Linked DNA regions of Drosophila melanogaster. The protein of the gene in region 1 interacts with the protein of each later gene in a pairwise test. Each region holds a gene or a part of one and is shown in the gene's direction. Other genes may lie near its edges. The genes, in order: PolE2, Parg and CG11555.

Region 1 (3,997 bases):
AGGCCATTGTGGCGAAAAATCTGGCTGCAATCGCTGCCGTTGATGCATTCCAATGTCCTTTTAGAATACCAACGAAGAGACTGGATGCTGCACACAATAGCATGACAGCCGACATCATGGGCTTGCGACCAATTCGATCTAGCAAAAGCATTGGTACGATTCCAGCAGGAATTTCAACGAGCGAGGAAAGGGAAAAGGTTATAAATATATCTGTGTCCAGGATTTCGACTACGCGAACATGGGCATCGTATGCTAGGGCCACAGTCATCCATGTGACAATCAAAATCGTTAAGACGACGAGCCTGGGAAATGTCTTAAAGAGATCCAGACTGGTGTACTGCTTTCCCAATTGCTCGTTGGCAAATTTAAGTTCATAGCATTCCCGCATCTCGGACCAAACCTCTTCGGAAATGATTTTTCCATTGGCTTTGGCCGCTTCTTTCATGACTTCAATACACCGGTCCACTTTACCCACCGACATAAGCCAACTGCAGTGGGAAATGAAGTTTAGATAGCTTGAAAACCTATTGTTATCATTAATTTACCTTGGTGACTCTGGAGCCAGCAAGCTGGTCAATATCATGAATACAATTGGCAGGGCAACGACCATGGCATAGTGCCTCCAATTACTGATGACATAGGCCAGCCAGGGAAGCAAGCAGGCGCCCAAGGTGAAGAAGAATGTGAGGGCTAAGTTCCCCACCAGTGTGCGATACTTGATGCCAACGTTCTCCAAAGCTGTTGAAAAGAATGTGATGATGATATTTAAATTTATGATTTATGTTAATTGACTCTGCAACACTCACTTAGAATATAAATGGGAACGAAGCAGTAGTTCATTGACAGTCCAGCCACAAATCGGCTGGCAGCAAAGCAGGGAAAGTCCTTGCAGACCACACTTACGCAACCGCCGATCATGGAACAGGAGTTGGCCAGAAATAGTGCAGGCAAGCGACCGGAATGATCGGTTATGAATCCAAAGCAGAGGCAACCAACAATACAGCCCACAAAGTAGACAACGACGCTATATGTCCCGAAATCCCTTTTGTCGCACACCCAATTGTACTCGGTAGCGATGGACTCGTAGGGCACCTCCTTGCGATCATAGATCCAACCATTGTTGCAAGGTATCGGGCTCCTTGTCTGATTCGCATCGTTGGTCGCATTTGAGTCGTAGGGCACATTGTACATAAAACAATTCTCGAAACTGCCATCTTGCTTTTTGGGGATTCCCCGATTCTTTTGTTCACTTTCCGGCAGTCCCTCTAGTTCTCGTACTCTGCACCAGTGATTCTTTGGCAACAGTATCATAAATATCTGACCAAAGTAGGTGAATGCGAACAGAAAGGCGGCGGGCATCATCCAAAACAGCAGTCGCTTCTGAAAGGGGCCAAAGTCCCCAATGAACAGCAAGAAGTTCTCATACTTTTCACAATCTCTGGGGGGCATTTCGACATTTAATATTATAAATATGTACTAAACAAAAGCCAACTTCTTTAAAGCCCTCTTTTTGAACCTTAAATAGTTAAATATATGTTATTTTGAATAAACCATTCAAATATCAACTTTTTGAACTCCACTTTTTTCCGCCAATTTTCGATTACTTTCTAGGCCTTCTATTTTAGCTTCATGTTCGGCTGGTCACACAAATGCACATAGATATCGATAATTGACAACATCCATATCTAATTTGCGCGCGAAAAAACTTTTAATAACAATGGATGTGGATTTACTGCCGCTGAGAAAGCGAATAACAAACACCTTCAAGCTATGTGGATTCCTGATCCGCTCGGAGAACAGTTCCTACCTGGCGGAGCAGCTGCTACCCTTTGACGCAGCGGAACGGGACAAATGGCTGACGGTGATCACCGAGAATCTCCAAAGCCAAAAGCTTTTGACGCCTCATGTGGAGCGAGCCGCCCTGGAGAAGGCCATCAATGAACTTAACCGGGTGGGATTGGATGAAGGGGAGACGGTCTTTGCCCTGATCGATGCCTTTACGGTGCCCCGTTTTCGGTACAACCAGCGGATAAAGAAATTCGAACTGGACACTCAGCCGCGCCAGTTGCTGACCGCCCCGCGCATGAAATCGGACTACATGCAGCAACGATATGCCATGTTACTACAGAAAACTCTGCGACACGATCTCTTTGCCCCAGCCGTCATACAGGATGGCGTTGGGGCCGAGGCCCAGGCCAAGAAATTTAAGCTCCAGTTCGCGGAGAACCTGCTGGCCACGTCGGCGATGAAGGAGGCAGTTGTTTTGGGGCTACTTACCCAGCTTAAAGAGGGCAAGTTCTATGTCGAGGATCCCACGGGTTGCGTCCAGTTAGATCTCACTGGAGCCCGTTTCCATGCCGGCTTCTTCTGCGAGGGCTGCTTTGTTTTAGCCGAGGGCAACTATAACAACGGTGTGCTCAAGGGTAAGTAGCCCAAAGTATTTAATAACTACATCTCAAGAGTTTCTTATGTTTCCCCAGTTGATGGCCTGGGCTTTCCACCTGCGGAACCGGCAAACAGCAGTCGAGCATTTTTCGGCACCGCCAACACTTGGGGCGGTGAATCTGCTAAGCTGCTGAAGTACTCAGCCGGACTACAGGAACTGGAGCGTACCAACACGGAAACAACCATTGTTTTCCTTTCCGACGTTCGGTTGGATCTGCCGGTTGTCATGGAGAAGCTGCGCCAGTTGTTCGTGGGCTATGATTCCTGTCCGCCGCAGGCTATAGTGCTCATGGGTCCCTTCACGGCCAGCACAAGGAATCATCATGAACTGAGGCATCACCTGGATGCATTGGGTGGCTTGGCAGCTGGCTGCGAGCAGCTGAAGAAGCAAACGGATCTGATACTCGTTCCCTCGTCCGAAGATCCCACGGCACCTAATATTCTGCCCCGTGCTCCAATTCCCGAATGCCTGGCAGCCGGGCTGCTAAAGGCCTGGCCACGCACCCAGTTGGCTACGAATCCGTGTCGCCTGCAGTACTGCACCCAGCAGATTGTGGTCTGCCGTCTGGATTTGATGGCCAAGTTTTGTCGCAACACCTTGCATTTTCCTGAAGACACGTCCCAGATCGAGCAGCATTTTGCCAGAACGATTGTGTGCCAGGGTCATTTGGTGCCCATTCATCCGATTGCCATGCCAGTGCACTGGGACTACGATCCTGCTCTGTGGTTGTATCCACTGCCGGATCTGATTGTCATGGGCGATTCGTGTCAGAGCTTTAGCAGCAGTCAACATGGCTGCACTGTTCTCAATACCGGCTCCTTTGTCAAGTCCAAGTTCGCATTCAAAGTGTATATACCAGCGACGCGAACGATTGAGGACTCGGAGATACCGGACGAATTGGAGTAGTTATGATATAGTTAACCTTAACGTAAGTTTGAATAATTATTTAATTACATATGTCGATTACTCTTTGGATTTCGGGCTATTTGGGCAATTTTTTTTTTGTTTTAAACAACTGCAAGCCTATATTTAGAAAGAATACCATCAATTTAACAATTTGGATATAAACTTCTTTCGGGAGCTTAGCTCACTGCGACCTCACATGTTGCTTGGCCCGCCAGCTCGAAACATTTTTCGGCACCCAGTGCGTGTGGCTGTTCCCTCGTGATAAGCGGCCCAGTCTCATCATCACCGTCGTCAGTCATCATATGCGCACAGCATGTGTTCCACAATCGTCTCCTGGCTGTGCGGCTGACGCGCCTCGCAATCTGCTTTTTACGGCGACCGGGGGTTGTCTATTACTTTTCATGACTTAAAGCCGATTTGGAAAAATATTGTTACTCTGCCCGATGCCGGCCACTTAGGGTCGTGGAAATTCAATTTCCCAGGCTGGCGCGCAACTCCTCGGCAGCTGAAACGGCAATTTTGATAATGCGTTTGACCTGAGGACATCGATGGCCCCCATTTGCTGTCACATGACCAGTTGCCGAATCGTTTTTTTAAGACATCATTAGCCGGGTAGGATGTGGAAGTGGGGAGGTTTTTTTTTCC
Region 2 (5,080 bases), on another chromosome or scaffold:
GTACAGTGATCACTCGTAAAAAGAACTCATTGATGTTATTCTATACATACATATATTATTATATTTTATGCTTATTCCATACTTTATTCTTCATACAATACAATCTGCCTACCATATAATTTATGGTAACATTGCTTTAATTATGTGTGAAGTGCATCAGAATTCGGATACAAAAATGAATTATTTCTTTAAAATCTGTATATTAATTAATAAAGAACAGAAATTTCCACAAATATGTAAATTGAATTTTCAAATTGGTTTGGTTCCCTCGTTTTGTTTAATTTCTGAAACTGACTCATGGAAGTGCAGTCTTCTGCTTCTTTCAGCTGTTGATTAGTATAAGTTCATGCTTTTGAGGTGACCTTGAAAAGTTTACTAACATCGCGTTTTCGTCGCTCGCTTTTTCCAAGCGATTATTCGGCTCTATGCATTTTTGTTGTTGCTTGTTTTTTTTGCCAACCCCCGAAACGCCACCCCCGATTATTCCTAGTATTTTCGCTGACGCAAATGAGAAAAGAGAAAGCTCTACATGTACAGTGCAGACTCCCATTGCGTTAAAGTTCATCAACGAAATCTAAATGCTCGGGATTTACACCTTTTTCTGAAAATTTATTTAGTAAAATAAATTTCACTTAATATCTGGTCTCTTTCTCTCTCTATCTCTTTATGTGAAAATCGATCGTTTAACTTATTGAGAGTTGACAGTACTTTTTTCGAGTATTTCTAGGTTATGGTCAAGGCGAAATCTAAGCAAATTTGAAGGCTACGCTCAGGTACGAAGAGCGATGAAGAGAAACGCCTCTTCTTTGTAGAATTCTACTGATAATTCGATTTTTGTTTTTGTGTTTTTTTTTTTTGCTTCTCCTTGCAAAGCTTTTTCGTTTGTTTACGCAAAAAGGAGAGAAAGAGATGGTGCAAACAAATTTCGCGGAGAGATAAAGGTGTGTTGAACTTTAGCAAAAGTACATTTCATAAATTATATTTATTTTGGTTTTTAGCTAGCTGTGAATTTGCTTTTGCGTTTTCCTCAGATGCAAGTGTGTGTGCAAATTATGTATGACCTTTTTTGTATTGTTTTTGCGACGCTTTCAAAACAAACAACTGCGCTCTCTCTCTCTCCCTCTCTCGCTCTCTTGTGTCCATTCTCAGAGTCTTTGCACGTGTATGCAGCGGTTTCTCTTCCTCTTTTCAACACGTAAGCTTGAGCAAAATACCACAATCACATAAATATATACATAGGTGCGAGTGACAGTGCCACATTAAGGGTTAAAAACTGAAAAAATTTGATTTGACCACTGACGTCAACGAAATAACATTTTCTTGCCAAACGTGATTATAAAAACATAAAACAGCAATTACTTTCCGCCGCTTCTTACCTTTTTGAGTATTAAATACATTTATAAAAGTTTCGCAGACGCCTTTAACTTGATTTTCCTTGGTAATATGCACTATTATTTTTACCGCACGAAGGACAGGAAAAAATCCTTTCACTTAACGTAAAACTTGGCGCTCGTTATGATAGTTTTACACTTTAAAAAAAAATTAGAGAAAATAGTTGACAAATTGCTGGAAGATTTGTTTTTTTTTTCTTTTTGTTTGTTGTTGTTCCTTCGGCGGTTATATTTGCAATTCGCATTGCAACGGACACAGTGTTGGTATTTCTCGTGCTGGTATTTAAATACTAGCGACAATGAGAGGTAAAATACCACATGTAATGGTCACACTTTCGCCCGCCGAATTCAAGGCAATGCAATTTTGAATTTGTTATTGATTCATTCTCAAACGAATACCAACATATATTTGAATATATTTCGATATATAAACGCTTCAATTCACTACGCTTCAATCGAAGTGTGTGGTATTTATAAAGTGCGATATTCATCACAGCTATCGCTCATCCCCAAAACACCGGTATGCAAGAATTCAGGTCACACTTGATTTTTCCGATATTCCAAAAGGTTTACCAATCTACGGCAAATCGCCGCAGAGCAAGTGCATCCGTGCTGACCAATCGACTCGGCAAGGCTTTGTGCTTAAACTGCGCCAGGATGTCGAAGTCGCCGGATGGCGGGATTTCCGAAATAGAAACGGAGGAGGAGCCGGAAAATCTGGCGAACTCCCTAGATGATTCGTGGCGTGGAGTTTCCATGGAGGCTATACATCGTAATCGGCAGCCTTTCGAATTGGAGAATTTGCCACCAGTGACTGCCGGCAATCTCCACCGGGTTATGTACCAGCTGCCAATTCGTGAAACACCGCCACGCCCCTACAAATCACCGGGAAAGTGGGACTCCGAGCATGTGCGTCTGCCCTGTGCGCCCGAGTCGAAATATCCGAGGGAGAATCCGGATGGCAGCACCACCATCGATTTTCGCTGGGAAATGATCGAACGAGCCCTTCTGCAGCCCATAAAGACGTGTGAGGAACTGCAGGCGGCGATAATATCATATAATACCACCTATAGGGATCAGTGGCACTTTCGTGCCCTTCATCAACTTCTCGACGAGGAACTGGACGAGAGCGAAACACGGGTTTTCTTCGAGGATCTATTGCCGCGCATTATCCGATTGGCATTGCGGCTACCGGACTTGATTCAATCGCCAGTTCCGCTGCTCAAGCACCACAAGAACGCCTCATTGAGCCTGAGCCAACAGCAGATCTCCTGCCTGTTGGCCAATGCCTTCCTGTGCACCTTTCCCCGGAGAAACACCCTCAAGAGGAAGTCCGAGTACAGCACTTTTCCAGACATCAACTTTAACAGGTGAGCGTCCACCAGATTCGTATATCTTCAGTCGAAGTATGTTAAATATATTCGATTCCATCAAAAGGCTTTACCAATCGACGGGACCGGCAGTTCTGGAGAAGCTTAAATGCATTATGCACTATTTTCGTCGCGTGTGTCCCACAGAGCGGGATGCCAGCAATGTGCCCACCGGTGTGGTAACCTTTGTTCGTCGGAGCGGATTGCCGGAACATCTGATCGACTGGAGCCAAAGTGCGGCGCCGTTGGGTGATGTGCCATTGCACGTGGATGCCGAGGGAACAATCGAGGATGAGGGCATTGGACTGCTGCAAGTAGACTTTGCCAACAAATATTTGGGTGGCGGTGTCTTGGGACATGGCTGCGTTCAGGAGGAGATACGCTTTGTTATCTGTCCGGAGCTATTGGTGGGTAAACTCTTTACGGAGTGTCTGCGACCATTCGAGGCCCTGGTGATGTTGGGCGCCGAAAGGTATAGTAACTATACGGGATATGCCGGAAGCTTCGAGTGGTCCGGCAACTTTGAGGATTCAACGCCAAGAGATAGCTCAGGTCGTCGACAAACGGCCATTGTGGCAATCGATGCCCTACATTTTGCCCAGTCACATCATCAATATCGCGAGGATCTCATGGAAAGGGAGCTGAACAAGGCGTACATTGGATTTGTTCACTGGATGGTGACGCCGCCACCGGGTGTGGCAACTGGTAACTGGGGTTGCGGCGCATTCGGCGGTGACTCCTATCTGAAAGCCCTGCTGCAACTTATGGTCTGCGCCCAGTTGGGCAGACCTTTGGCCTACTATACCTTTGGAAATGTGGAGTTTAGGGATGATTTTCATGAAATGTGGCTGTTGTTTCGAAATGACGGGACTACGGTGCAGCAGCTTTGGAGTATTTTAAGGTCGTACAGTAGGCTTATTAAGGAGAAGAGCTCCAAGGAGCCGCGTGAGAATAAGGCATCCAAAAAGAAGCTATATGATTTTATTAAAGAGGAACTTAAGAAGGTCAGAGATGTGCCCGGAGAGGGAGCATCCGCCGAAGCTGGAAGCTCTAGAGTAGCTGGATTAGGCGAAGGAAAATCAGAAACATCAGCGAAATCCTCGCCAGAACTCAACAAGCAACCCGCCCGACCGCAAATCACCATAACGCAACAAAGTACCGATCTATTGCCCGCGCAATTATCGCAAGATAACTCAAATTCTTCGGAAGATCAGGCCCTTCTTATGCTGTCGGACGATGAGGAGGCCAATGCCATGATGGAGGCCGCTAGTCTGGAGGCTAAAAGCAGCGTAGAAATAAGCAACAGCAGCACAACGTCCAAAACGAGCAGTACAGCCACGAAATCAATGGGTTCAGGTGGCCGCCAGTTGAGCCTGCTCGAGATGCTGGACACCCATTATGAAAAGGGTTCGGCCTCGAAGAGGCCACGAAAATCACCCAACTGCAGCAAGGCTGAGGGTTCAGCAAAGAGTCGTAAGGAGATCGATGTGACCGACAAGGACGAAAAGGACGATATTGTTGACTAGGTGATATTGCACTACAGGATTGTTACTGCCCCCAAAATTGAAGAGGTATAAAATGTATTGTAGATAACTTTAAGGACATATTTAGGGCATTTTAAAGTAGGATCATTGTAAGTCGAATAAAGTGAAATTTTTTTTTTTTTTTTAATTATACTATTCTAATCTGCAAAGACAATTTTACTGTTAAATTTGTATAACATTGATTGATTAATATAATTTGTTATATCATGCAAATCTAGCTTTTATTATGCGAAATTTGTAGTTAAAGCCAGTAAAGTTTCTTTTTATTTAACCGAAACCTTTTGTTTATTTTATTTGACCACAACAAGAACATCAACAACAACAACCACGAAAAAAAAAGCGAATATATATTTGTTTGTTCGTATATATATATATATATCTAAGCAGATCCAACGTCGATGGCCAATCAGTAGTGATTGCGTCGCTTGTTGGATGGACAATACTCGGCGTATTCCTCCCAGGTGCAGCCCGCCTTGGTGCAGCATTCGTTCGATATCGATGGAGTGTTTCCATCCGATCGACGACTTCGCAGAAACATGTTGGCATAGTTCACGTGCAGCCAGGTGGAGCCATCAGCTGGAAAGACAGCAGGTGGTATCATATCGATATCAATGGATCTATAGCATAGATGTACATGTGTACATCGCTTGAAATTCCAATCGTCTTTGGTTGGAATGGATTTCGATTCAACAACTTACGTTCCGTGGTTGTCTTCTTGATCCAAGCCTCATCATTGCCCGTCCTCTTTTTGTTGCGCCGTGTCAGTCGGTAAATG
Region 3 (3,392 bases), on another chromosome or scaffold:
TATTGTACAAAAATTAATTCAACTTCATTCTCGTTTTAAACAACAGAGGCGTAATTCCTAAATTCCGTAAATATTAAAATGAAAGAACTAAATCCATTGGTATTGAAAATGTATTTATCTTTCACGTTCCTTTACAACTAACTCACGCTATAACTATTTAGAAAAATTAAACGGAGCTCTATAAGAATACATCATGGAGTTAAAAGGGGCGCCCGGGGCGCCTAGAAGGGGAAATGGAAACACTTGAGGAGGTAGACTGGCTGCGGCCGATACGGAGGCTTTGGTGCCTCGTTTCCGCTTCTGTTTGGACACAGGAGCTGGGTGAGGCTCTTCGCTGGACTCCGAGTCATCGCTCTCGCTGCTGTCATCTTCATCTTCGTCGTCATCTTCCTCGTCATCTTCTTCGTCATGATCTTTCGGCTCCACCTTCATCCTTTTCTGTGAAGACTTCTTTATCTTTTTTATTGACGCCTTTTTGTCCTTTTTGGGTTTTGCTGAAACTGGAGCTGTGACTGTGCCAGCAGGAAATCCAAATCCTTGCTCGCAATGAAAGGCAGTCATTTGCTGCATGGCAAACTCCACAAACGACTGGATGGCAATATTTAGATTGGGCGGGTTTGGACAGTTTTTGAGACCATGATAACTACCGGAGCAATTACGACATATCATCTGACACTGGAAGGAGGTGTGGCCCTGGAAGAGATTTTTTTAAATTGGGTAACATTCTTTTAAAATATTTACCTTCTTGTCGCATATGCCACACACATCCACGGTTTTACCCTTGTTTTTTTGCTTTCTGGCCTTCTTGTCGTCTTCAGGTTCGGTGCTTTCCTCCTCATCGGTAATGGTAAACTGGCGCTCCTGAGAGCCCATGCAGACAACATCCTCCTCGGTGTTCTTTTCCATCTTTTTACTCTTTGCCGGCGGATGACTCTGTTCATCATCGGTGTCGCTGTCCGAAGTTGAGGAGTCGGAGGACGAAACTGGTTTTACAGCCTTTGGTTTCGGAGTTGATGCTACAGGTGTTTTGATGGCCTTCGCTTTTGGGGACGGCACCACCACTGCCTTAGTGTTGACTACCATTTCCCCTGGTTCGGGTTCAGACTCCTCTCCCGAAGTAGATGACGACCTAGAGGAGTTAACCTTCTTCTTTTTAGGAGATTTGGGCTCCGCTTTGACAAATTGCTTTATTTTTGACTTGTGCTCCATTTCTTTCTCCTTCTTGATATTGATTAGCGGCACAGTAGGTTCTTCTGGCGTAACAGCCACATCAGGTGGTGCAACAGATACAGGTGGTGGTGGCGTCAAGTCCGCAGCGAAAGTAACAGGTGGCAGGCTCTCCTGTCTGAGAGAGGAGGGAGCAGGCGAGGATCGAGGCAGAGGTGGGTCTTCGGTAAAGTCCCCCACATTATCGAAGTACAGCATGTTACTTTGGCCAGGACTAACATGCTGATCCTTAGGTTGCCACGAGTTGTTACGGCCACCACGCCTATTGGAATCTCTGCCGCGGTTCCCTCGCCTGCCACCCCAACCACCACCTCCTCCGCCACCGCCTCTATTTCTTCGGCCCCCTCTCTTGTTTGGCTGATGATTATCCAGCTCCTGTTGGGGATCTCTGAACTTGTTAAACGCGTTTCCATTCTGCCCACCTTCCGATCCAGCGTCTGGCCAGTTTCCATTGGCGGCGCGATTTTGGCTGTGGCTGCCTCTTCCCCCGCCTCCACTGCTGCGCCTCTGCTGATTGTTGCGGCCGTAATTCGAAAACGGTTTTCTTTCCTCTCCTGAAAGGTTCCAGCCGGATTGTCCTCCACTGTTGTGCATTATGGAATTGTTAATATTTATAAAACCGCCTAGTTGCGGCGCACGTGTTGAGCCGATTGGGGTTATCGATAAGATCCGATTGTTGGTGGGACTGCCGAAGTGGCTTCTTTCAAGCCAAAACTGCTATTCATTATATGTATATTAAGTTTGAATACCTTATATATAATATAATATATATATATAATACTGTGACAATATGTGACATAATACATGTAATGGACTAAAATGTGAAGTGACCAATGGAAGGTTTTTATAAGATTTAACATATATAGCTAGATTCGATAGTTTCTCAAACTGGCACCTCAGATGGTCAGATGGACGATATTCAGTTTAACCACAAATAACAACGCTATGAATTCTACCAATCCGAAGAAAACAGAAGATAATGATCGCCATGAACGTCAATTGCAGAGCCGCACCAAGGACTGGGGCAAAACCAAGTTCAAGCCAAAGAAGTATGTCCAACCGAAACCAGCGCTCGTTCCACAAGCTACTGCGACGCCCTGGCAGCATGTGAAGAACGACATAATTACGGATTCTTCGGACCGGGGACACCAGGATGTGGACAGCGAGGACGCAAGGCAGTTCATGCAGCAGCGTCAGAAGAACCACCGTCGAAATGTCATAGAAGCCAACCGGTCGCAGGATACTACATGGGAGCCCTTCAACGATGAGAAGCCCTCCACGGAAAGAAAACAACAGCTCTCCACGGACGTTGAGAACTTCACTTTTAAGGAGCGGAACTTTTTCCGAAAGCAACTCACTTTGGGTTTCAATTTAACGAAAAAGAATGCAACACTTAAATCTGCCCTAAAGGACTTGAAATATAGACAGCTGACAAAGGACAAGTTCGAATTAGAACGTTCGAATCATACACGTCGAAATGTGAAATCATCAAATGCGAAAGAAGCAAAGGGTAGCCATCCCTTTCAGAAAATGCGAGATAATGCACATCCTTATCGAAAGAAGGGACCAAATAGGAGAAATCCGTTTCAGAAAGGGCCACATAATGAATAAGTTTAGCTTATTTTCCCTTAGGTGACTTCACAACCCCAACTGGCAAAACATGAAGTTTCAATTAAAAAATAAATAAAAGATTCTTTGTCGGGTGACAAATCAGAAATGTATACACAACATTACTACACACTTTATGCAAATCTTAAAAATAGTGGTACAAATACATGTGGAATAGGTCGGCGAAAATAAATAAACTAAACAGAGTTCGGCTCCTCCTCCGTTGGGAGGAGCAAGAGGAGATTGAAGTGGCGCTCGCTGCGCCATGGTTCCAGCCAAAAATCGTCCAAATGAAATCTCAGCCATGTACATTGGCAAGCTTGGCGATGAGGTGGTTAAACTTGCCGTTGGTGGTCACAGACTTTTTGGCCGATCGCACTTGTTCCGGCGAGTGCTGCAGAAAGTAAACGACGATAAATTCGAGTGTTTGATTGGCTTCCTTAGGGTACATCATGTTAAAGGTATAGTAGTAGCAGATTAACTGGGCCAGAATGTCCGGCAGGTCTTCGTCTTTGGCGGCGAATGTGGCCATTATCTGGCCTTCAATGTAGACCTTC

The links.
Region 2: the proteins of PolE2 (region 1) and Parg interact in a two-hybrid assay, tested with the Drosophila melanogaster proteins (one large-scale study listed by BioGRID).
Region 3: the proteins of PolE2 (region 1) and CG11555 interact in a two-hybrid assay, tested with the Drosophila melanogaster proteins (one large-scale study listed by BioGRID).

What each region holds. Positions count from the first base shown.
Region 1 is NT_037436.4:5,895,100-5,899,096, reverse strand, and holds PolE2 (DNA polymerase epsilon subunit 2), read left to right. Parts: upstream 1-1,661; 5' UTR 1,662-1,717; coding exon 1,718-2,423; intron 2,424-2,480; coding exon 2,481-3,352; 3' UTR 3,353-3,406; downstream 3,407-3,997. Other genes in the region: CG5592 (uncharacterized protein), read right to left, coding at 1-488, 546-738, 807-1,449. UniProt on the Drosophila melanogaster protein: Accessory component of the DNA polymerase epsilon complex. Participates in DNA repair and in chromosomal DNA replication. Has a role in the entrance and progression through S phase. Has a role in endoreplication. Essential for viability and tissue development.
Region 2 is NC_004354.4:3,668,336-3,673,415, reverse strand, and holds Parg (Poly(ADP-ribose) glycohydrolase), read left to right. Parts: upstream 1-1,913; 5' UTR 1,914-2,048; coding exon 2,049-2,761; intron 2,762-2,828; coding exon 2,829-4,287; 3' UTR 4,288-4,579; downstream 4,580-5,080. Other genes in the region: Ilp7 (Insulin-like peptide 7), read right to left, coding at 4,712-4,881, 5,004-5,080.
Region 3 is NT_033779.5:271,814-275,205, forward strand, and holds CG11555 (uncharacterized protein), read left to right. Parts: upstream 1-2,022; 5' UTR 2,023-2,172; coding exon 2,173-2,838; 3' UTR 2,839-2,881; downstream 2,882-3,392. Other genes in the region: mbm (mushroom body miniature), read right to left, coding at 154-693, 742-1,821; CG17078 (uncharacterized protein), read right to left, coding at 3,134-3,392.